3 linked regions of the Lepisosteus oculatus genome follow. The protein of the gene in region 3 interacts with the protein of the main gene of each other region in a biochemical or structural test. Links are inferred from orthologs where the notes say so. Each region holds a gene or a part of one and is shown on either strand. Other genes may lie near its edges.

Region 1 (7,725 bases), about 6.8 Mb from region 3:
TTCAATGAAGCATTTCAATTGACATTAAATTGAGCAATTAAACAGGGCCAACACAATGCTTGAATATATTATTAAACGTGTAGAATTTACATCAAGGGGAGCCATGATAAAATTATATGTTCCTGTAGTTATTCTTCATTTGGAAAATGTCTTTGATTTTGGTCTTAAGCCAAAGACAGAAATTGCTGCACTAGCGGCAACACAAAGAGTAGAACTCAGTCTTACTCCTGGCCTGAAGTTACTAAGGCAGACTAAAGGGAACTGAATCTTTTTAGACTGAAGAGCATGGTAGGAGTTGATTTACTGTATGTACTTAAATTCCTGAGAGTCAAAAAGCCAACTTGGGAACCACCTTCAAGGCCACCAACAAGAGGACTTGGGGACACAAGTGGAAAATAAGATTAGTGGGATTTTAGAGCAAGATGATTATGGGAGTCTGGGACCAATGTCCAGGACACACTGGAAGATTACACCTTAGGTATCTTTGGGACAAAGTTGAATTGATTTTCTAAAAAATTAAAGCCAATAACAATTAAATCAGGGAGAAAGTAAAAAAAAAACCTCTCATATGCATCCTAAAAAAAAAGGCTAATCATGATGCATGTATTTAAAATTAATACAGGGAATTGCTGTAAAGTAAATTATTTGAAAAATGTGGTAAAGCAAAGACATTTTGTTCTAATTATTTTTATTTAGATATACATTACATTAAATGTATGACAGAATTATAGCTCTGTAAAGAAAACAAATCAGTCCTGTTATTTAGTACATCTGCCATAACTGTATGATGTTTATACAGTTATTTTCCAACTGTACGAAAAGAAGACTTGAATACTTGTCCATTGAGCTCGGTTTGAGGTTTTTCACCCTTTTTCTTTTTCACACTACAACACCTCCATGCTCAACTAGCAACTTTTATGTGCTTTATGCTTTTCAAACGCTAATCCAGGGATCAGCCGGAGGAAGCCTTGAGGCTGTGACTGCAGAAAAAAGGGGAACGTTTATTTAAGCTGCCTGCAGCCAAGACCCCAGTCCTTTCCCCTGGCAAGCAGAGGTATCTGTCAACAGGGTTTGGCTTTTGACCCTATCTCTAAAATGGTTTGTGGAGGAAAGACGTACAAAAACAAAGATCAATCCCAACAATCGAAGAGTAGGTGTTCTGCAACCATATCTTTTCAAAGAGTGTGCAGCCTATGTCAACTGTTAAGTCATTAGTAAAAATCAGCTTCAATAACACCTTGGCTGCCCTTTGATCAATGAAGACAGAAAAGCCATAGAAAAATAAGAAGGTGCTTAACAAAACACAGATTAAAAGGGCAAGTACCTTTGCCACACTTTTTCTGTGCTTTTAGAGAGCTCATTAATGCTGGTAAGTGGCTTTATACTGTATGAATACTTACGGAATGTTTGTGGAGTGAGTAAATGTGTGCGTCACAAGTATTTAATTGAAAGGGAAATTACACCTCACTCACAAATAACTGTGTGCACATGTACGGGGAAGAAAACTGCTGTGTTTCTTGTTCACTGAAGAATAACATTACTGAAGAATTAAACAGTTATCTGTATGTTGTTTAAATGCAGCCTGAGAAAAAAAGAACTTTTCTCTAAATCCATTTGTAAAACATTTTTTTTTAAGAACACTGAATTAATTTCTACTTTAATGTACCTTCTTCATTTAGATTCGTATAAGAGTATATAATATGTAATACAGTATATACAAATGGAGTATTAAAGGCTTTTATGCTCTGTAATACCGTATGTACTATTCAAAGTGTATACTGTATAAAGTAAACACACTGAGAGGCAGTAAGAAAGCAACAAGTGCTGTTGATTCTTGCTCTTTTTTCCTTTAAGTATATTTACTAGCAATGCTACAATGCTTCATGTTTATAATAATGACTGTACAATAAAATAGATTATTTCTGAAGGTTTTCTTTTTTAACATCTGAGTTTTTATAAACATTTGAGTTTTTGTAGTTCATTCCTTGAAAATCTTCAGTACAGCAGGAATTTGGTTTATTTTAAATTCACTAAGGTTACAGTTGGTTTCACTTATGGATTCTTTTCCTGAAGTTGCAATCAATCTAGCTTCTTTCTAGTGCTTTCTATGCCTGTACATTTGTGAAATTCTTTCTTATTTCTGTCCGAGCTAATACTTTTATTATTTCTTAGTAACACACACCAAATTATTATATATAATAATAGTAATAGATTTAGTGTTTTACAAGTCCATGCAACATTGAAAAAGCCATCATTTAACTGTGGTTTACATTTAAGTTGTTTTACTAGTTGTGTAACATGAGGTGTGTATATATTATCTTCAAAAGAAAGAATGAAAAAAGTCAATGATGATTGCTGTAACCTGATGACTTTAAACCAGGGGGGCTATCCCACAGGGTATCAATGAGTGGCTATTTCCCACTGAAGACTTGTCCATGCAGCTCAGGTAGGTACTGTGGCTCTTAGAGAGGAAATTGGGCAGCTGTAAACTGCAACTATTCATTTAGGACCTGGCAAGTTGGGACAAATAAACATCTGAAAAGGAACATGTTCACTTCTGTCTTTAGGGGGGTTTGGCATTAAATATGACTGACAGACAAATAATTCCCTGGAGGGGCTGCTGAACTTTTGTTTTTAAGTGGACTGCAAAAAAAAAATATTATTTGCTTTACTTCATATGCCTTGCTTTTTATGTAATTACAGTACTACAGTACAGCTACAGACGTTCTGTGATGACATAATCTATACTTTCCTTTCCGACAGGTACAGTATCAACACAACTGTCTCTTTCACCAGACTTCTAAGCACGCGACAGAAGAATGAGAAAACAGCAGAAAAAAAAGTTTCCTACCTCAGACTGTTCTTTCCCTGGCCAAGTGTAAAGTCCACAAAAGCTTAATTCCACCTTGCACACAAGTCCACAGGATTATTCCCAAAAGTCACTCCAAGTTCCTCTTCTTTAGATTTAAAAGCCAGGTTCTGCCATTTACACTAGCCTAACTCCTACACTCTTTGAGAAATTGATTGTACTGAAACTTAGTCAGAAAGCTCCCAGTATCTTTCCTCTTAGCAGACAAAACCTGTGGGTCCTAGTGCCTGCCTAGCTGTCTCCAAAACATCACAGAGAGGGAAGTGAAGGAAGAGAGCCACTTGTTTTCTCCTTCTTGCTAATGTAACAAAATTCAGAGTCTTTATTGAATGTCAGAAGTTTGCTTCTTTTGCATTGCTCATTCAAGTGCAGACTTCTTATAAAAGTCATGCCTTAGTGTGAGACAACTAACAATAAGTCACTGGTCACTTTGAGTCACTTCAAATGAAACACTAATTTCCATCTTCAGCCTATATCCAGGATAAAAAAATCACAACAAATCTATCCTGTACACAGATATATAAACTAATGCATTAAACGGGGTGATACAGTATGTAAGGTCACATCTTTTACGTTTCCACAGAAGGAGAAGCACAGGTTGGAGAAAATTATTATCAACCCAAGGGAGGAAAGGATACTGTATTAACCTAAACAATGTCTTTAAATCACTACTGAGGGATGGTGACCAGCATTTGAAAACTCAACATTTTTAAATGCCGAAGCATTTACAGTATCACTGGTCCACTAAAGGTTATATTTTTATACTAGGTAGAAGAAAGGTTATAAGCATTTCCTATCCTTCTGTTTGCCAAGGAAATATTTGTCTGCAATTTCCGTTCTTGCGATAAATTTTTTTTCAGATCTTATTAAGTTAGAGAATTTAATTAGAATCTTTTAGTAGCAATCCTTTTAAGGCTTTTAAGCTTTTTTTTCCTGCAGCTTTCTGAGAAACATACAATTCTAAAACTGCATAGGTGCTCCCAAGACTAATTTCAGATTTGCTGTTCTTTGCAGAGTAAATTACTTTTATTGCTTCACATAATGACTAAGTATCTTTTCCTAGTGTACTTTCATTGAATAATTTACATATATATGGCAGATTTATTTTGTTGTGATATACAGTATAGACTTAAAGACTTATACTAATATTTATGTATAAAAGATTTCCCCCTTGTTTCCTAAGAAATCCCATAAACTTTGCACTAGTAATGTTAAAGTGAAGTTCTCTCAAGTATACCTAGTGAAGGTTCCTGGCTTTTTTTTATGTTATCAGGATGCATACTGAAGTTGAGGGATGGGGTGGCAGCAATTTTACACAGATTTTAGAGTTTTTCTCTGAAATTATAAATTATTCTGCTGTGCCAGCAGCTATATCACCCTGCAACTCACATCTGGCAACCCACTGAAGCTCAGCAGGTGTGAGACTGGTCAGTACCTGGATGGGAGACCTCCTGGGAAAAACTAAGGTTGCTGCTGGAAGAGGTGTTAGTGGGGCCAGCAGGGGGTGCTCACCCTGCGGCTCATGTGGGTCCTAATGCCCCAGTATAGTGACGGGGACACTATACTGTAAACAGGCGTCGTCCTTCGGATGAGACGTAAAACCGAGGTCCTGACTCTGTGGTCATTAAAAATCCCAGGGCGTTTCTCGAAAAGAGTAGGGGTGTAACCCCGGTGTCCTGGCCAAATTTCCCATCGGCCTTTATCAATCATGGCTTCCTAACAATCCCCCTCTATGAATTAGCTTCATTACTCTGCTCTCCTCCCCACTGATAGCTGGTGTGTGGTGAGTGTTCTGGCACACTATGGCTGCCGTCGAATCATCCAGGTGGATGCTGCACATTGGTGGTGGTGGAGGGGAGTCCCCATTACCTGTAAAGCGCTTTGAGTGGAGTGTCCAGAAAAGTGCTATATAAGTGTAAGCTATTATTATTATTATTCTGAAGGCTAGAAGTAAACATTTAATGATTCCACATTCTGACCTTAATGAATGTAATCTTTTCACAGAACAGGCCTTTAGCATTTGCTTTTGTGTCATAAACAAGTTAGAAATTAGTAGGGTACTCTTCTGAGCTGAAGAATGGCACCATGCCCCCGCTGATCAAATTCAGCACTAGCAGTACAGCCACCTGTAGAGCAGTAAATGCTGAGAGCTGCAGTGCTCATCTTGACCACACCTGCCTTTCAGAGAGCAACACTTGTCTCACGTAACACAACAAGCACACTCAGGGGAAACACCCTGCCACTGTGAACGCTTACCAGCCCGATCCAAGGGATATCACTTTCAATGCCTTCAGCAGTGCATGTATCCAATTCTTTGTTGTTGTTATTATTTTAAAATTACACAATAAATATGTATTACATACAGTAATTGTATTATAAAATCCAACATAATCTGATTATATATTAGGGGCATTACTTATAGGAGAAATAAAAAAAAAACCTCTCCCTATAAACATTTTCACTAAGTGCACTTTCACTAAGAAGGAAGGGTCTGCATCTGGCAGATAATATTTCTGTTGTCACATCAATTAAATATTTGCTTTGAAAATGACTTCTCAATACATAGAGGATTTGCCTCCCACTCCCTGACTGTTCCTCCTCCCATTCTTTACATGAGATTTGCAGTTTGTTCAGCTTTTGGAAAGTTTTCTTTGCAAGCAGTGGTGCTAAATGTTTGCACTGCGTGATATCCCTCTCTAATAGGTTTTCCGCTGAGTGCTTCTATCTGCATTCTTCTAAGATACAATGGTATGTTTCCTCACATGGAAACAGTTCTTTTCAATCTGTTCAATAAATATATTTGGTTTCGTTTTATTTTAATCTTTTAGGTTAGGGCCGGCTTGTATCGGGCTTATCTTTAATATATCTATTTCAAATGTTTTTACTAGAAGCACGGACAACAATATAAACTGGAGGATGTTTAATGACAGCAGTGTCCCAGGTGTTCTGTACATTATGTACACAGGTGAACATAAATGTGCCTTAATACATTCGTCCACCTGTCTAAATGCATCCCCCATACTGTCCACTGTTTTAGTCATCAGCTCTTGTGTGTTTCATGCTGTTTATTTTACAAGCATTAAACATATGAAATTTGGAACACAGTTTTAAATACATTAATATTATAAAGCTTATGATGTATCATTGTCATATAGTTAAGATGTAAAAGAACCTTTCTTATGACAGTATAAATTATAACACTCAAATCATTTCTAAGGGATCTAAGGGATTTAGTTTTTTTTTCTTTTCATTATTTATTGTGATATTAGTGGTTTTTAAAGTTGTGTTTGATATTTTTTGTACTTCTATTCATTTTCTCCTTCTACACAACATGGGAGAATCCAATGTGCCATTTTAACACACACAAAAAAAATCCCTATTCTGCAAGATTTGTGGTTTTTCCCAAATTTTTTCGTGAACAAATGTGAAAACATTTTTTTAACCCACTTTTTGGGTGTGAGTGGCCTCGTCAGTCACTTGCCATTGTTGACAAGCCACTTGGCTGAGAATCTGAAGGACAACACCTAACCCCAAGGGCACTCTCACCTGTCGCCCTGGTCTGAGAGGCGCTGGAAGTAAGGAAGGCCAAAAAAAGAGTAAGTTTTGTAAAGAATTCCGAATATTTGAGGTGTTTTGTCATCAGTGATGCTACGTGGCCAGAAACAGATATTTAGAGTGCTATGGACAAGCATGGGATTTTGTCTTAAGGTGGGGAGCTGCGTCAATGAACCACAAGAAAAAGGCTTGGCTAATTCTAAATATGGACTCTTTAACACGCACACAGGGTAGAAGATGTTCATGAGGTTTCTTGGACTTTCGAAGCCTGCCTATGCAGGCACAGTGTACGGCAGTAAAACCCCAAAACTACTTCAGTGTTTTACGATGAGCATCTGAAAAAAAATTATCTTGTTTGGCAGCCCTTTCTGTATTTGTTGGATATTAATGTTGTCCCAACACTCTATTTACAGTACTGTAGAGCTGTACACATACAGTATACAGTGATGCATTGCCTTCACGATCTTTGTATTTCGAATTGGAACCCTTCTGAATGAGCATACTTTATAGTGGGTGGTTTTCTCTTTCTTTGATTCCTACATTCTTATTAGTTTTTATCACTTTGAGATTCTGGCTCTGTCCTTTGTTTCATAAGTCACTTCTCAAAAAACAAAACGGAAACAATTTTCCACAGAAATAATTACTTGAAAGCAACAATTATGTACCACTTAAAGTTGATATAAATGAGTATTGGTCTTGTACTATAAGTGAAGAGCTGTTTGTGAAATATAGATTATAGTACAGCTGAACTTGTTAACAACAGAAATCAAAAAACAGTTTTAAAGGAAATTCAGAGTTTAGTGAAGGAATCATAGTATTCATGTATGCACTGAATTGCATAAAAAAGCTAAGACTGTTTAGATGATTTGGCCATTCCATCCCATTTGGTCATGAGTAGATTAGTGAACTCCTTTGAGATCCATCAAAGTGCTTCATACACGTGATGTTGAGTTTGTGTTTAATCTCTTGCGTTGCTGCAACCGCCTGGATTTATTGTTATAACAGCGTTTAAGACCCTGATAAAGCAGATGCACTGGTTCACTCCCTACTTCCTAGGCAGTCTCAAATTTCAGTCCCACCTTTGGAACCTGGAGTTATCATTACTGTATCCCATTGAGAGTGCATCTGGCTTCCATTTGGCAGACCTCCTAAGGTCACAATAGTATGTGAGTCAAATGTATTAACGGTTTCCTGGAGGACTAAGAATCTTTGAGAGGAAAAATCAAAGCATGCACCTCTGCTATTTTTCTATTATGTAACGCTATCTGTTTGGAAATTTAGCACATGTAGAATAAGAAATA
Region 2 (7,212 bases), on a different chromosome or scaffold from region 3:
GACTTCTTCTGTATTTGTGATGTGGCGACTGGATTTTTTTCAAATGAAGCCAAATGAACGGCAATGAATTAAAGAAGTTCTGAAGCTGCCTCTTTTACTCTGTCCTGTCATATGAATGATATGAGTAAATGAAAAGGCATGCCTGTGCTTTTTTTTTTTGGTGCACCCAGTACAGCATGTACATTCTTTTTAAAAAGAATCCCCTTAAAACCTAGAGCTTACTCATCCACCTCTGCCAAATCGAGAGAAGGCTTCACACTCGAAACATTTCACAGCTCACGGTTTGCAAATAATTCTGGAGACTTACTGAAACAGGTTGTCTGCACAAGAACATCAGGTCTTAGCAAACCAAGCTGTTTTCCGCTACTTTTTAAGCAGTTCTGGGAGTTGTTTGCTCCAATTCCCATCAATTAGACACATTTATATTTTGATAGCGGTGGAATTCTGCTACACGAAAGGATTTGCTTTCTTGTATTAAGACCTGTTTTTAAATGACATGGTGAGCACAGTGATTCAGTCTCAGCAGAAAAACAATGCTACTCTCCGCAAGCACACTTGAATGGTAACATGTACAGTATAAGATTACAAGCAGAGCCGTCTGATGAATTACCCACTAAGTTCCTATGGGAACAGGACTGTAAATTCATCCTTTCCAAACACAGCCAAATTCCTAAATCACAAACTGAGGAGAGTGCAGATGAGATTCCCAGAAACGTTTTGAACTAGTGGGCTCTGGTGCAACATTTTCTTTTCCACTTAAAGAGCTCAGCTTGACGTTTTGGATAAACAGCAAATTCTCCTAAAAAAGAAAGAGAGAAAATAACTTCTACAACCCAGCCAGCCTGGATTCTCTGCAAGGTGTTTTTTATTTAATTCCAAGGACACAGTCCTGTTTCAGCGGTTTCACCAAACCTTATTTAATGCGCAATAGAGGCATGATAGGGATTAGCTGGTTAATTGGCGGAACTGTAGGGACAAAGCTGACAGACCCCTCTTTTTGGCAAGGAAAGCGCAAGGGGACTGCTGTAAGGGTGAGGATGGGGTGCGAGAGAAGATCGGAGAGTGGGCACTCTGGAGGTGAGGTCCTTGCATGCAGGGAAGCTGAGGTGGGTGAGACTGGGGTCTGACCTTCTACAGAACGTCCATTTAGAACTCCACATGCAAGAGTCATCAGGCTTCAGCAACTCCCCATCAACACCTGGGGATATGGTTATAGGCCAGTTTTCATGACTAGATCCCTCCTTGATCAAATTCGGGCCACTAACACATTCACCCTAGTGATTTTTCCTGCTCTTCCAATGTTTTAAACTGGAACCACACATATTCTATATACAAGCCATTCACTGTGCTTTACTACATTATACCATGTTTCCGTGAGCGACATTTTACAGCACTTCAGGCCAGGAGTTCTCTATCTTTAACCCGCTGCTAGAGAAAACAAACTACTTAAGTTGTCCATCTACTTCCTCACTGAAATAAAAACCCACAGAAAGTCAAATATGTCCCAGTGTAACTTAAGCACATCTTTTAATACATGAATTCTTTTCTTTTTCTTAACGACTATCACAGGGCACAGCATTAGAGGGAAAGAAAGGCTGTGCCTGACAGTTTAACAAGGCTGCAAATGTCACGCACAAGACACTCCACAGAAATGGAGGCCGTGTAACTCATTAGAATCCAATTGCTAGTTACTCCTCTGAGCTTTCTTCTTGCCGGGTGACTGACGCTCTTTTTTTATTTGGCTATTTCCTGTTTCAGTAAAGAAAATCAATAGGACTTGTCCTCAAAACTCTGATCCAGTTAAACCACAATCACATCCATGAACCACTGCAGTACTCTGGGGCTGCCTGTGATAATTCCAATTCGGGGGAAAAAAAAATACCCCAATACAAATACCTTTTCCTTAAATTTGTGAAATACAATTTCACCTGCAGCTGGGGTTCGGACGTCTGATTACGGCGGCTGACTTACAATTTTCTATACCTAGAGAAGGTCAATTTGGCGATTGTAAAAAGAATTACAGTATCAAAAAACGGTCATAAATTAGATTTAACACACCATGAATATTTGGGGAATCTATTTGTTTCAGTGAAGCTAATCCCCATTTAAAGAAAACGAAAAGCCCAACATTGCTTTATTTATACTCTATCTCCCAGAGCTAATGATTGCACAATTACACTGAGAAAGAAATGAAGGACAATCATTGAAGACACACAACCATTACCGTTTAATGAGACAATAATGAACTGCTCCTGCAACACTGGAATGACACCTTTTGAAATGAGGAGAGTGCAGAACAAGCCCACACACATTAACAGGCCTTGAGATATTACCTGGGTCACTTCAAATCTCCACGTCGGCTCGGTCTTGCAAAAGAACTTCTGCCTTTTTTTACCACTTGCGGTGCGTAGCTCAGCTTCCATTCCAGGGGTGGCACATTTCATCATTTATTTTTAAACATTACGCTGTCCAGAAAGGAGAAAGACTGGGAGACACCCGGCAGTCTCGGTGTCCTCTATTATAATCTTATTTGCCTATTTAAATTGCTGTGCTCTCTGCTGGTGAGTCTAGTTTCTCTCATTACTCTACAGGGGTGACATTCAGCTAAATTCAGCTCTGGTGCTAAGTACTCTTTTCCCACACGCTCCTTCATTTCCGTCTCTGTGCAGAAGGATGAGCCAGAAAGTCACCTCTTCACTTCGCTGGTTTTCTCCTCTTGCTTGGTGCCTGCTTGCAAGTCCCATGAAGGCGATGAGCAGGGATTAGGGGCCAGAGCAAGAAAAACAGAATCTGACTGTCATTTCAGAATGTGACCTGCTGACAAGTTGTGGGCTTTACATATAGGCTGGGGTCCGTCCTCTTCATGCCTGCTAGAGGGACTAGAAGAGAGACTGGCACTGCTAGATTAACAGATGAAAGGTAATTGCGCTATCATCTCTTCTTTTCAAGGGGGCTGCACTGTTTCCTTAAAGGATATATAGTGTCCTTTTAATCCCGAAAAAAGAGATTACAGTAAAGCCCTATTGGACCAATACAGGATTGCTTCCTTAACATAAAGCATATGGCAAAATGTTTCAATGACTTTTTTAACAAACACAATTGAATCCCTGCTCTGTGCCACTTCCATTTGCAGCACAATAATAATTGTTTCTACTTTAACAGCGTATCCAACAATGTGAATTATTGCTCCGGTTACCTAGTGTATAGTGCCTCCCTCTCTCAGAATTCAATGTTCTTGTCCACTGGTTTGTGTTTTAGTTTTCTTCCAAAGGTTATCTTGAAGTTAACTGATATGACAATCCAGACATGGCTTACATTAACCTCATTGAGATGTAAACCCTTCCTTGAAAACACTACAGTATAAAAAACACACAAATGCATGTTCATTGTCACTTCTTTCCAAAGAATGCACTTTCCTAAGAAGTTCTGCATTGCATAACCATCACAATCTTTCTCACTTCACTGAGATTGTACAAAAAAACAAATCAAATCTTCCTGGACAGAGAAGGACTGTTCTGTTTATTTTTTTTTTGGCTCTCTTAAGTTTATTTTTGTTCATCACTTCCAAAGTCATTGTAGTGACAGTCTTGATAATATCAGCAACAGTAAACTCCTAAGATTTTTTTTTTCAGTGACCCTAAGCTTTCTTGTTATCTGTGGAAAGGTGACTTCCAGAACCAGACTTGATGACTTCCTGGAAATGTCTACATTCCTGCAGATAGAAAATTAAGAATTCTGGAAGGTCCAAAAATCGGATCGTGCGTGCTACAATTAGGCTACTTGGTGTTTCCTGGAAAAATCAGGGACAAGCACCATAGTTCTAATGGAATGACGTTCTTTCTAAGAAAAACGTTCTTCAAGGAAAACTGAATGAGGCAACTCCATTCAAACTCATCATAGCTTGTTTATTGAATGCTACAAGAAACTGAATTGCGTTAAACAGTCAGGAGTGGATTCTGCAATAAAAGTAAATAATGTAAACAACCTTTCTCGACAGTTATTTAATGGAGTTTATAATGAAAGTTCGGGAGGTATTCCAACAGCCAAGTTCAATCAGCCTCAGCTGTCAGTAATTTGTAATCAATCCTAATGTCATTTCCTTTCCTAAAACACTATAAATACTGTATGTGACCCCCTTCTCTCCTTCTCTCACACACAAGGTCTCCTGCCTCCCTCTTCCCCCCCATCTCCCCCTCTGCAGCTGCCCCTGGGTCACCCCTCACTCTGTATGGGGGTCCCAGCCTCCTCATTCTCTGGCCAGGAGGTCAGCCCTCACCCACACAGGTTCAGCCGAAACTTTATTGTGACTAAACCTTAATAAACTCCATAAACCTTTCAATACGCTTGATTCTTGGGTAAGTGTTGTTATTTCTGTTGGAAGTTACTATGATACCGTCCTACTGTGCTGTAATGAAAGATGCAAAAATATGCAGAGATTTTAATCATGCTTAGAGTGCAATTTTCCTATTGGCTGCTAAGGCTAGCTCTGCAGGTCATGTGTAAAACTAATAAAAGAATCAACAGATGATGACACTGCCACTTGTTTTTTAAATTAGGGCTAGTGTTGATTTAGACTGGGTAAACGTTGTTTTGCTTTGTGCTTTCAAAAAACAGGTGTACGTTATTTCTCCATTTTTTGCTGTCAATGAGTGTGCATATGCATGCAGACAGATTTTTAATGTGCTGTTTGGGGCATCGCAGTTTCATATCCTTTGTGTGCAACACGATTTTCATATTTGACTCATGAGACCAGTGCGGTCAGCGAGTGTCAGGCAAAAGACACGGCACCACTAACACAAACACACTATGGTCTAAGTGGAGGGGGACTGAGCTCATAGCTCCCTTGGCTCCCTGCTCTTCTGTGGATTCATGTGGAATCAGACTTTCACAGTAAAGCAGGAATTCAAGTCTTTGCATGAAAAACTCTACGAAGGTCAATTAATACTTGCAAAAAAGAGAGAGAGACGTTTGGAAGCCTGCATTTAACTATAAGTGAAAAGCCCTTCTGTCCGACAAGTAACATTAAATAATCTTCTACCACTATCCTATTTATTCAATTCATGTATTTTTTTTAAGGACAAAAATATGTAGCAGCACTCGCCGAATGTCAATTCCTATAATTAACTAACCTGAAGTCATAGTTCTCTTCCTCTAGCTGGCCTGCTTAGCCATTCGCCTGTTTTCTACCACTTAATCCACAGCTCCAGAGCTGATTAACCAACCAGCATGTTTTTGGACTAAAAGGGGACATTGCAGCACCAGGAGAAAACCCACGTGAACACAGGGAGAACATGCAGACTCCACACAGACAGTCCCCTGGTTCCAGAATTGAACCAAGAGGACCGCGGTGTTGCTAGGCAGCAGTGCTAACCACTGGGTTACCCTTGCCTGCTTATCTGTCTATTAACCAGTATCCACTACTGCAGCGCTATAAAAACAATACTTGGGAAGTGTGCCAGAACCCTCGTGGGTCAGGAACGCGTTTCGCCAATAATCTGCAGGAAATGTATTTTGTATCTGCCGGGCCGTATAGAAACTCAGGAATTTGTAGTATATAGACCTTTAAATACCTGTAACTCGACGTATTTAAAAAAAAAACATCATGTTGGGCGAAAACAACCTTGCAGACGAGCCTTCTCTCCTGGTGCCAGAATAATAATAAAACATTCCCAATTTAAATGTTGTCCGATTACCATAATTGGGTCGGGTAGTACCGTGACGTACAGTAGCCAAAAAAAAACCGCTATTAGATTCCAGTGCGTTTCAGCAGGTTACCAGGTCGATTGGTGAATTAGATTCTAGTCACAACTCAATAACAAAAAAAAAAGATCAAATGCAATCTTTCCCTTCCCGTTCTGTACTGATCCAGAGAGATGTCATCTAATTAACCCTCGGATGCATGGTCTAGGTCTAACCTTCATTGTTCTCGAACTTCCAGGGCCGACTAGAGCTTTTATATATAGATGGATTCGAGCTGGAGTTTCCTCGCGGCTGTTGTGTATTGTGTGCCAGGAGCAGAGAAGTCGAAAGAATGTTCCGGCATCCGAAAGCCTCACAGCAATGCACCCTGCCCCTACGTCACAGCCCAGGTTTACGTGGTAAACCATACCTTGTGAAGGTACACATTTGTCTTGTAAATACTTCAGTAGCGAACGTCTCACGTCAGGGCCACACGACTAGATACCCTTTCTCCCAACGAGGCACAGACCCCGTGCTCCTGAGCTCACTCTGAGCGGCAGCGCTTTCAAAAGCACGCCTCGGCCCTCACCTGTTGGAGTGACCAATGAGCCATCTCTGCCCAATCAATAACCATGCGCACAAAAGGGATTTCGAACGACTTCAAAGATTTGCTTCGAGTGGTCAGAAATCCTCTTGATCACCTAACAAGTAAACGTTCTAACCTTGGTCACGAAACGGCCCCATGTGTACGAATTGCAAATATTTACAGAAAACGTGCTTTCTTTCCCGGTGCATTCTTAAAGGGGCAGGAAAGAGCCGGAGAAACCTGTCACTGCTACAATTCCATCCCCCCCGAAACACGTCCCAAAATGATTTCGCCTTCGGTCGTTTAGTGTAAACCCACAACTGAATCATCGTTTTAAAACGCTTCGGGTCCTCCAGAAGCAAAATCGTTATGTTGTTTTTTTTTTTTCCGGAAGGCTTCGCTACACTGGGAGTGTTAAGTACACGTCTGACAAATTAATGCGCATATACAGTACGTTTTGAGCCTCTCGGCTTCACTCTTTATCTCAGTGATTGATCGGGGGCAGAACTTCAATATTTAAATAGATTCAGTTTCATTCGTTTGGACGTGAAAAAAGCGGCAGATAATTACACAGTCTCTTTAAAAAATTCATGTACCGGGATAAAATTACACTCGCAGAGTCAGCTAATAGGCTATATTTAATTAATAGAGAAATGAGGGGGTTTCTCCTGAAACACCAACAATTCCTAGTGACGTGACGCAGAATCAGCCCTTAAGGCTGTTGGCCTTATTCACTCGGGAGACGACGAATCTCCAACCAGTTTACTTCGCTCTGGGCAACGTACGTAAATCCGTCAAGTGTACATTTATTCCAGCAATTCCATGAACGCCTGACAACAGATATGATTTAGTATTTGTTTAAAAAAATACACTTGTTTCAAATCTTCGGAAAATTCTGACACCTCTTTTGCAAACATCTATACTGCACTGAAACGAGTTAATTGAAA
Region 3 (6,863 bases):
AAGAGCAGCGGACTTGACTGGGCTCTGCGCGTCAAGACCAGGGGATATCAGATGGAATCACTAGGCTGACCACACACGTCACAGCGTCGGGACAGGATTATAAGCTCCACCGCTGTTTGCCTGTGACAGTGCCCAGCACCAACCCCATTACCCAGGGCTGAGCGAACTCGGAGCCAAAGGCAGCCCAGAGCACTGCTGTGTCTCGAGCGCCTGACTGTCAGGCTCCGTTCTATTCCTGTCCCTGTCCAACAGTGCACAGCCTGTCGCAGCCCAGTGCCGAGGACCAGCGTCTCACTGCGGGCTGGTGCCGGGAGGACACGGCGAAGCAACACGCCGGCTTGCTCCCTGAACCAGCCCACCTCACCGGAGGAGCCGGGGAAGCAAAGGAAGCCGCAGGGGAGTCGAAGCTGGGGGTCTCGTTTCTACACGCCCCCGAAATCTCGCCGGGCTCGGACCTCACTCACGCCCAGGCCATGAACAGCCCCTCGTGCTCAAGAGAACAGGCTGCTTCAAGCGCCGTCTTTGTTCACGAGAAGCAGGCTGTTAATCCTCAAGCTTTCGTTTCTCTGAAATTTGTGGGATAGTCAGGTCTAGGTCTTGTGATTGTTCCCGTGAGCGAAGCCAAAAGTCTGACCCCGCAGGAACGCCATCAAAAGTGTTATTTTGATTTCTCCCGAGTTCTCGTCAGCCTCTAACGAGTGCCTCAGCAGATCAGTTCCCACCAGGCAGGAAGCGGAGGAATGGAGAGGGCGCTGGGTGGTGGTCACAGCCCGGGGCTCTTAACTGGAAAGCTCTCCCCTCTGGACAGGGTTCAGCTGTACCTTCGAGCGAGGTGTTCAGTATGATCCGATTTGTGGGTGGTTGTGGTTTAAAGACACCTAAACCCTGTCTTCAGCCCCGGTTTGCAGTCAGCTGCTGTTTATACCACAAGGTCACACGTATGAAATCATACGTACACTCACCTGGTCACCAAAACCAGCAAGTCAGGTAATAATCCTGGCTGACACTCAGGGGCCTGTCTGTTAGGAAGGTGCTGTCCTATTTACTGACCAGAGAGCGGCAGGGCTTCTCGGTATAGCGCAGGGATCCCCAACATTTTCCAGCAGGGCAGGACTCCGTTTCAATGCATCACAACACATCAGTGTCAGTAAGGACCCTCGAAACTTAAAGCCCATTAAGAATAACAATTACTGCAAACCGAAGCAACTCAGGTCGGTGCTGCAATTGTGAAATAGAGTGTCGTGGGAATAGCGAACGTTTTGCATATATTACACATTTATAAAGACGTACTGTGCTGTGGTCGACAGCGCTTCCGCTCCTAAAACGTTTCCATTAATATCCCACTCGAATACAGCAGCGCCTATAGCCACACACACACTTTCACAGCGAGGTGTGGGGGCAAACAAGCCGGGCTATAGCTTTCTCCCTGCCCTGCCCTCACAGGCAGCAGAGCCGGTCACTGCCACACACGGGCGGGCCAAGAGTTTTACCTCTCGGCGAGTGGCGCGGCGTGTCAATTACACTTGGCCCCTTAAATCTCCCGTGCCCGCTGCGTCCTTCCCAGTTAACATCCGTCTCTCCCACTCCACCCCCGGGACTGAACATCCGGCGATCGCCGACTCCCCCCGACACAGTTCAAGATTCGGGACGGAGCCGAGCCAGACCACGGTACTGACACACTGACAACCCCGGCGGCACACCGAGACCTGGCTCGTCTGTGGATACGGGGCCACCTGCGAGAACACCGCCTCTAGATAAATTATTAAAGGTTACCGTATCACTTCTGTTCCCCTATCCGTTGATGGTGTCGGGACACTTCAAAAACAAGCGACACCGCATCTCCATATGCATGAACAACAACAACAACAAAAAAGAAACGGAAACATAAAGCATCTGGAATTTAAAGTGCGAATTGCACAGCGGGAACTGAATACCTCATTTGCAAGCGCTTGAATTTAAGGTTAAGCGCACCTTGAACCGCCGGGGGGCGAACCTGCAAACACAATCAAGGATGGAGCTACCCACTGGGCGAGACGGGATCATTTTAGTGTTATAACACCGCTCTTTTTTTTTTTGGTTTTGTTTTGCATTGCACTCCAGAGAGCAGAATATTGACGTTGCTACGACTACTAGTGTCGCGCCGTGAAACGAGAGAACTGAGATGACACGCACCTCGGCGAGAAACAAAACAGAGGGCAGGCTGCGGAGAGGCGCTTGGCTGGGCTAACCCTACTAGTCCCCGGTTTAAGGAAATGCCTGAGGAGGCTGGAGTACAAGAACAACAGGACGGAGAAGTGTTTTCTCTGGAAGGGAGAGTACCAGGACGTTCCGTTCCCCGGCGCCGAGCTCGGAGCCCGGCCAGGCAGCTGGGACCCCGGACCAACACCGTGCGCGTCGGCTGTGAATCCAAGCATGCCCCCCCCGAGCCTCCAGCGGGCACGGGGGTAGGGGACAGCCAAGCAGCCGGAGCCGTCGTCTACTCACGGTGTGCGTGTTGCTGCCCAGCCTGGACTCGTATCCTTGGAGGGCTCTGCAGCTGTCGGCTTTGTCCGCGCTCCTCCGGCTCACCCTGTGCTGCCCGGAGCCCCCGGGCGACTCCGCGCTCGACGGCCAGGGGAAGCTGAAGACATCCTCCAGCCTCCCGGTCTTGACGAACGTGGACTGCACCCCGCGGCTGGCTCTGTCGCGGAAATCCACGCACAGCGCCAGTGGGAACAGGAAGAACACCACGCAGCGGCTGCGGGGGATCGGGAGGCGCATCGTTCACGGGAAGGCGAGGGAGCGAAAGCGCTTGAAAATATATATGTTTTTTTATTTAAAAAAAACGTCCATAAATGCCAGGCCGGTTTTTGCGAGCGGTCCCTCTCAAACCACAAAGGTAATGTAAACACGCACAACCCACTAAGCCAGCAGCAAGCGATATCCAAGCACCAAACAGCACATAGGAGTTAAGCGGCTTTGAGGGTGGAGATTCACTTCACACCACCTACCTCCCCCAGACGGCTAAGCGATTGGCTGCTTTGACGCTGAACGCCGGTGCTGATTGGCTCTATTCAGCTATCGATCACACGTACAGCCCTTGGACTTGGGAGTGATTTATCTCATTGGTGGATTCAACCCCACCTCGTTGAACAGCTGAGAGGCCACGCCCACTCCGCAAATCTGCCTATCAACGTGGTTCCCATTGGTTGACGTCTCTCGGCCGGAGGATTCTTTTTTTTCCTCATTGGCTACACTCGACAGGGATCAGGAAAGAAATGTGATCCCCGAACTTCACTGTCAACAATTAAAAATGCAGTCAAGGTTGGTTGGCGGCTATGCGATGCCCCCATCTCCTGCGAAAGATCACATTGCAAGTGTGTGATTTTGATTAAGTAACGTGATATTTGTGACAGCGTCAGAGGCAGTGTGGCTCAGACATATAATTTGCTTTTCCCATCCGCGGTAACATCAAGTCTTACTCTACGGGTGTTAACTAGATGAGTTTCTGAAACCGGAGACCAGCACACAATAACAGTACAACAGACACAAACAAGTGCTTCTACTTATTCTCTGAGGTTTAATGATTAAAAAAGTATTTAGATGTATACCGTATCTGCAGAGTTGCGACTAAATGTGTCGTAAAAGCATACGACATCCAAGTTAAACTGCTCCGATGTATGGAAAATAAAATTAAGACACTTCCTAAACTTTGTACATTTTATGAATGGGTCTTGAACTGCAGCGCCTCGGAACTCTTTATTGCAATTAGTGGTACGTTACTGCTGTGGTTTCTGTCACGTGACCGAGCAGCCAGACAGATCTTGCAGAATTACTGTTAAAATAATGATGCATTATTGTTCTGCACAGTCGCGTCAATCTCTGACATGAAAAATATCGAGACTGCCGAAGCAACTGAAGAAAACGACGGTACTTAATAACGGCATATCTTAAATTACTCAATAGTGGCCGCACAGGGCGCGGGTTTCAACACTTACAGCTCCGCTCCGCGCCAGCTTCATGCCAGTCCACGGGCGGGTAAGTAAACGCTACTGCAGACGGGTCAGTTCAGCAGTAAAATAAGTTATACACTTTAGAACTTCACTTCATAGCTCAGGACGAACACGGACAAGACGGATTAACTGTACTGCGTTTTCCTAGCACTTTAATTCCCACCTGGATTTTTTTAGTAGAGGTTTTGTGCAACAATGCATTTGGACCCAGCGCCCAGTGTGCCCTTTCAGCCCAGAACATTTTGTACCACGTTTGTACCAGGCAGCGGCCCAGAGACCTTCCAAACTCTTGACAGGATGAGCAGTAGTGCTGCCAAACTTTTGGTCCACATCAGTTGCACTTTTGGCAGAAAACTGAAAGACTGAAAAACTAACCTACCAGGAACTTCTAACGAGAGGTAGTAAATCTCCTCTGTAGGTGGCCTTGTGCAGCAAACAAAATGATTCGCAACACTAAAGACATTTTTTAGTGGCTCAAAGTAGTACAGTATTTTCCTAATGTGCCACATCAAATAAATAAGGTAAGGACAAAGGTCCATTTCAATCTATCAGAATCAAACAATTGGGCAATTATACTGACTGAATTATAAAATATTTAATTCTTGCAGGTCTATCAGATAGGTCCAGATATGCAAAGACAACACAGTTGCCAGATCACCCAATGTGTTCACACATTGTGCTCTGACTTGCAAAGGAACAGACCAGGAGTCACGTATGCGATATGTTTTGGAATACAACAGATTTATTGAGTCAAGTTGTAACAAAAATTACACATCACCCCTTTTTTTGCCTTTAGTCCCAGTTCTCATGTTGTGCTGTATTATGTACAGACTTGTAAAAATCACAAAAGAAAGGAAGAAAAAAAAATACAAACAGTAGATTCCTGCTTATTCACTGAAACCGCATTACTGTGTGTGCGTCTCAGGAGAGCTAAAAAGGCATTGGTTACCATCTCTTGCACCGCAATCCAGGAACGTCTGGTGTGCTCGACTGTTGTGGGAGTCAGATCTACTAAAAATCCGTCAGTGCCAGCTTGCTGGACTTTAAATATCTTTAATAACCTCTTCTAGCTCTTCTTTCGTGTACATGTGAAATGTCTTCCCAGGCTCTACTGTAGCAAGCTGTCGGAGAGAAAACAATATTAATACTTATGATGACTGCCCAAACAGCCCCAACCACAAGCCCACATGATGTGGCCAAAGTCCTGATATCCCTCTGGGACAAAATGCATTTGTGCACGCAGAAGGCATTTCTTAGAAAACTGTAATTATCCATTCTGGACAGTCCCAAGTGTGTTTGGAGCTTCTGTCAGTTTTGCTAATAGTAACTGCAATGTGAGGCATGTTCTTTAGGACACACTGTGTACGCGCTATTTCATAGCTTTTTGCCTCCTACAACAAGCGCTATTTTTGTAAGCTGTATTCTATTTTATTAGGTAGCTTGCTCTACTGGAGGTCTCCTGGGATGAAACTGCCTGCCAAACACAACAGTACTTGTTATAATCAACACTACTTGGTAATAGCAGCAGCAGGGGAGGATTCTCACATATCGCACAATCCTGAGAGGTAGGTTTAGTACTCCATCACTCATACAGAGTCACAGATCACAAAGCTGCACACACTGGGCTGCACAACACGTTCAACCTAGCAGGTGGAGTCCTGCGTCCCTCCATTTCTTTCCTCTCATTTCCATTGAGCTTCCAAAGCAGATAAACGGGGAAGACGTGTCTGGCTTTCAAAAGCAGTGGGCTCTATTAAGAAGTAATTAAAGGTCTTAAATAAGCTGCTTCAGCAGAAGCAAATATAAAAAAACTTAGACTCACTTCCCCAGTACTCTGTCCTTGATGTAACAAATATGTAACTAACAGCTGAAATCACTTTAGACTGCATTAAATGCAAAGTTAAACCTGAAGATGTTAAAACACCATGGATTCAATTCCACTAAAGGCCTGAAAAACGTGAACCCCGATAAAAAAACTGCAACCTGCCTGACAGTAACTACAATCTTATAAACCCAGCACTTCATACCGGGCGGGGATCAACAAGGTAAAGAAAACCACCATCAGGGCACAGGGCTTTCAGGACAGGAGGCCAGAAATATTACAGGTCTCCCCTGAGCTGCTGTTGGGCTTGTGAGACTACTGGGTGGAAGTCAATGCATTTGTCTGCAACTGGCTGGATCTGTGAACAAGATGGATCTCAGGGATGTTGGAAGGGAAAGAGTGATATACAGGGGGTAAAAAATCATCAGGAAATGAAGATCATCTACCTCTATGTTTGTTGCATTCAGTTTTTCCTCCATGACCTGCTTCAGGATGGTGAGCGAAGATTTGATGGCATCTTTTAAAGTCATCGACTGGAAAAAACAATTTATGAAACAACACAAAAAGATCAACATTTGTGGGCTTCAGGTTTTCATCCTGATATTTGCATTGCTTCTGCTTGTTCCACAATCTCTTGGAAGGGGAGAAAAAAGAAAAAACAAGGAAATTTTGTTCTTGAATATCAAAATGAGATTATCCATTCACTGCACAACAAGGCAAGAGTCAGATGCTGTTTCTAATGACAGGCATGTGATGTAAACGCACTAGTCTGACAGGATGCTAGGCCGCAGCGACACCCATGACTGCAGACTGACGAGGGGCAGTACCAGGAGACTGAGCCCGCCTGTCTCGTTGAGCGGTATCAATCCCAGCTGCGGGGCTGTTGAAGGTTGAGCTCTGCTCCCTGGATGTTACAGCTACACTCATCCCGGGCAGGACAGCGGTCTGGGGGCTGTTACAACACCATCCCTGCTGCACAGACAGAAGACAGCTATTCCCTGGCAGCAAAGGCCAGACTCCAGACCAGGGGAGATCCCAGTCGTGTAGCC

What was found.
Region 1: the proteins of sortilin (region 3) and ngfb form a complex in vitro, tested with the Homo sapiens proteins (3 studies listed by BioGRID and IntAct, with this or other methods). The link is inferred for Lepisosteus oculatus from reciprocal best matches to the Homo sapiens genes SORT1 and NGF.
Region 2: the proteins of sortilin (region 3) and bdnf form a complex in vitro, tested with the Homo sapiens proteins (2 studies listed by BioGRID and IntAct, with this or other methods). The link is inferred for Lepisosteus oculatus from reciprocal best matches to the Homo sapiens genes SORT1 and BDNF.

Annotation. Positions count from the first base shown.
Region 1 is NC_090700.1:33,083,041-33,090,765, reverse strand, and holds the start of ngfb (nerve growth factor), read right to left. Parts: upstream 3,012-7,725; 5' UTR 2,852-3,011; intron 1-2,851. UniProt on the Homo sapiens protein: Nerve growth factor is important for the development and maintenance of the sympathetic and sensory nervous systems.
Region 2 is NC_090716.1:3,157,261-3,164,472, forward strand, and holds the start of bdnf (brain-derived neurotrophic factor), read right to left. Parts: upstream 3,012-7,212; 5' UTR 2,448-3,011; coding exon 2,334-2,447; intron 1-2,333. UniProt on the Homo sapiens protein: Important signaling molecule that activates signaling cascades downstream of NTRK2. During development, promotes the survival and differentiation of selected neuronal populations of the peripheral and central nervous systems.
Region 3 is NC_090700.1:39,850,213-39,857,075, forward strand, and holds the start of sortilin, read right to left. Parts: upstream 3,005-6,863; 5' UTR 2,761-3,004; coding exon 2,485-2,760; intron 1-2,484. Other genes in the region: psma5 (proteasome subunit alpha type-5), read right to left, coding at 5,036-5,113, 6,261-6,347.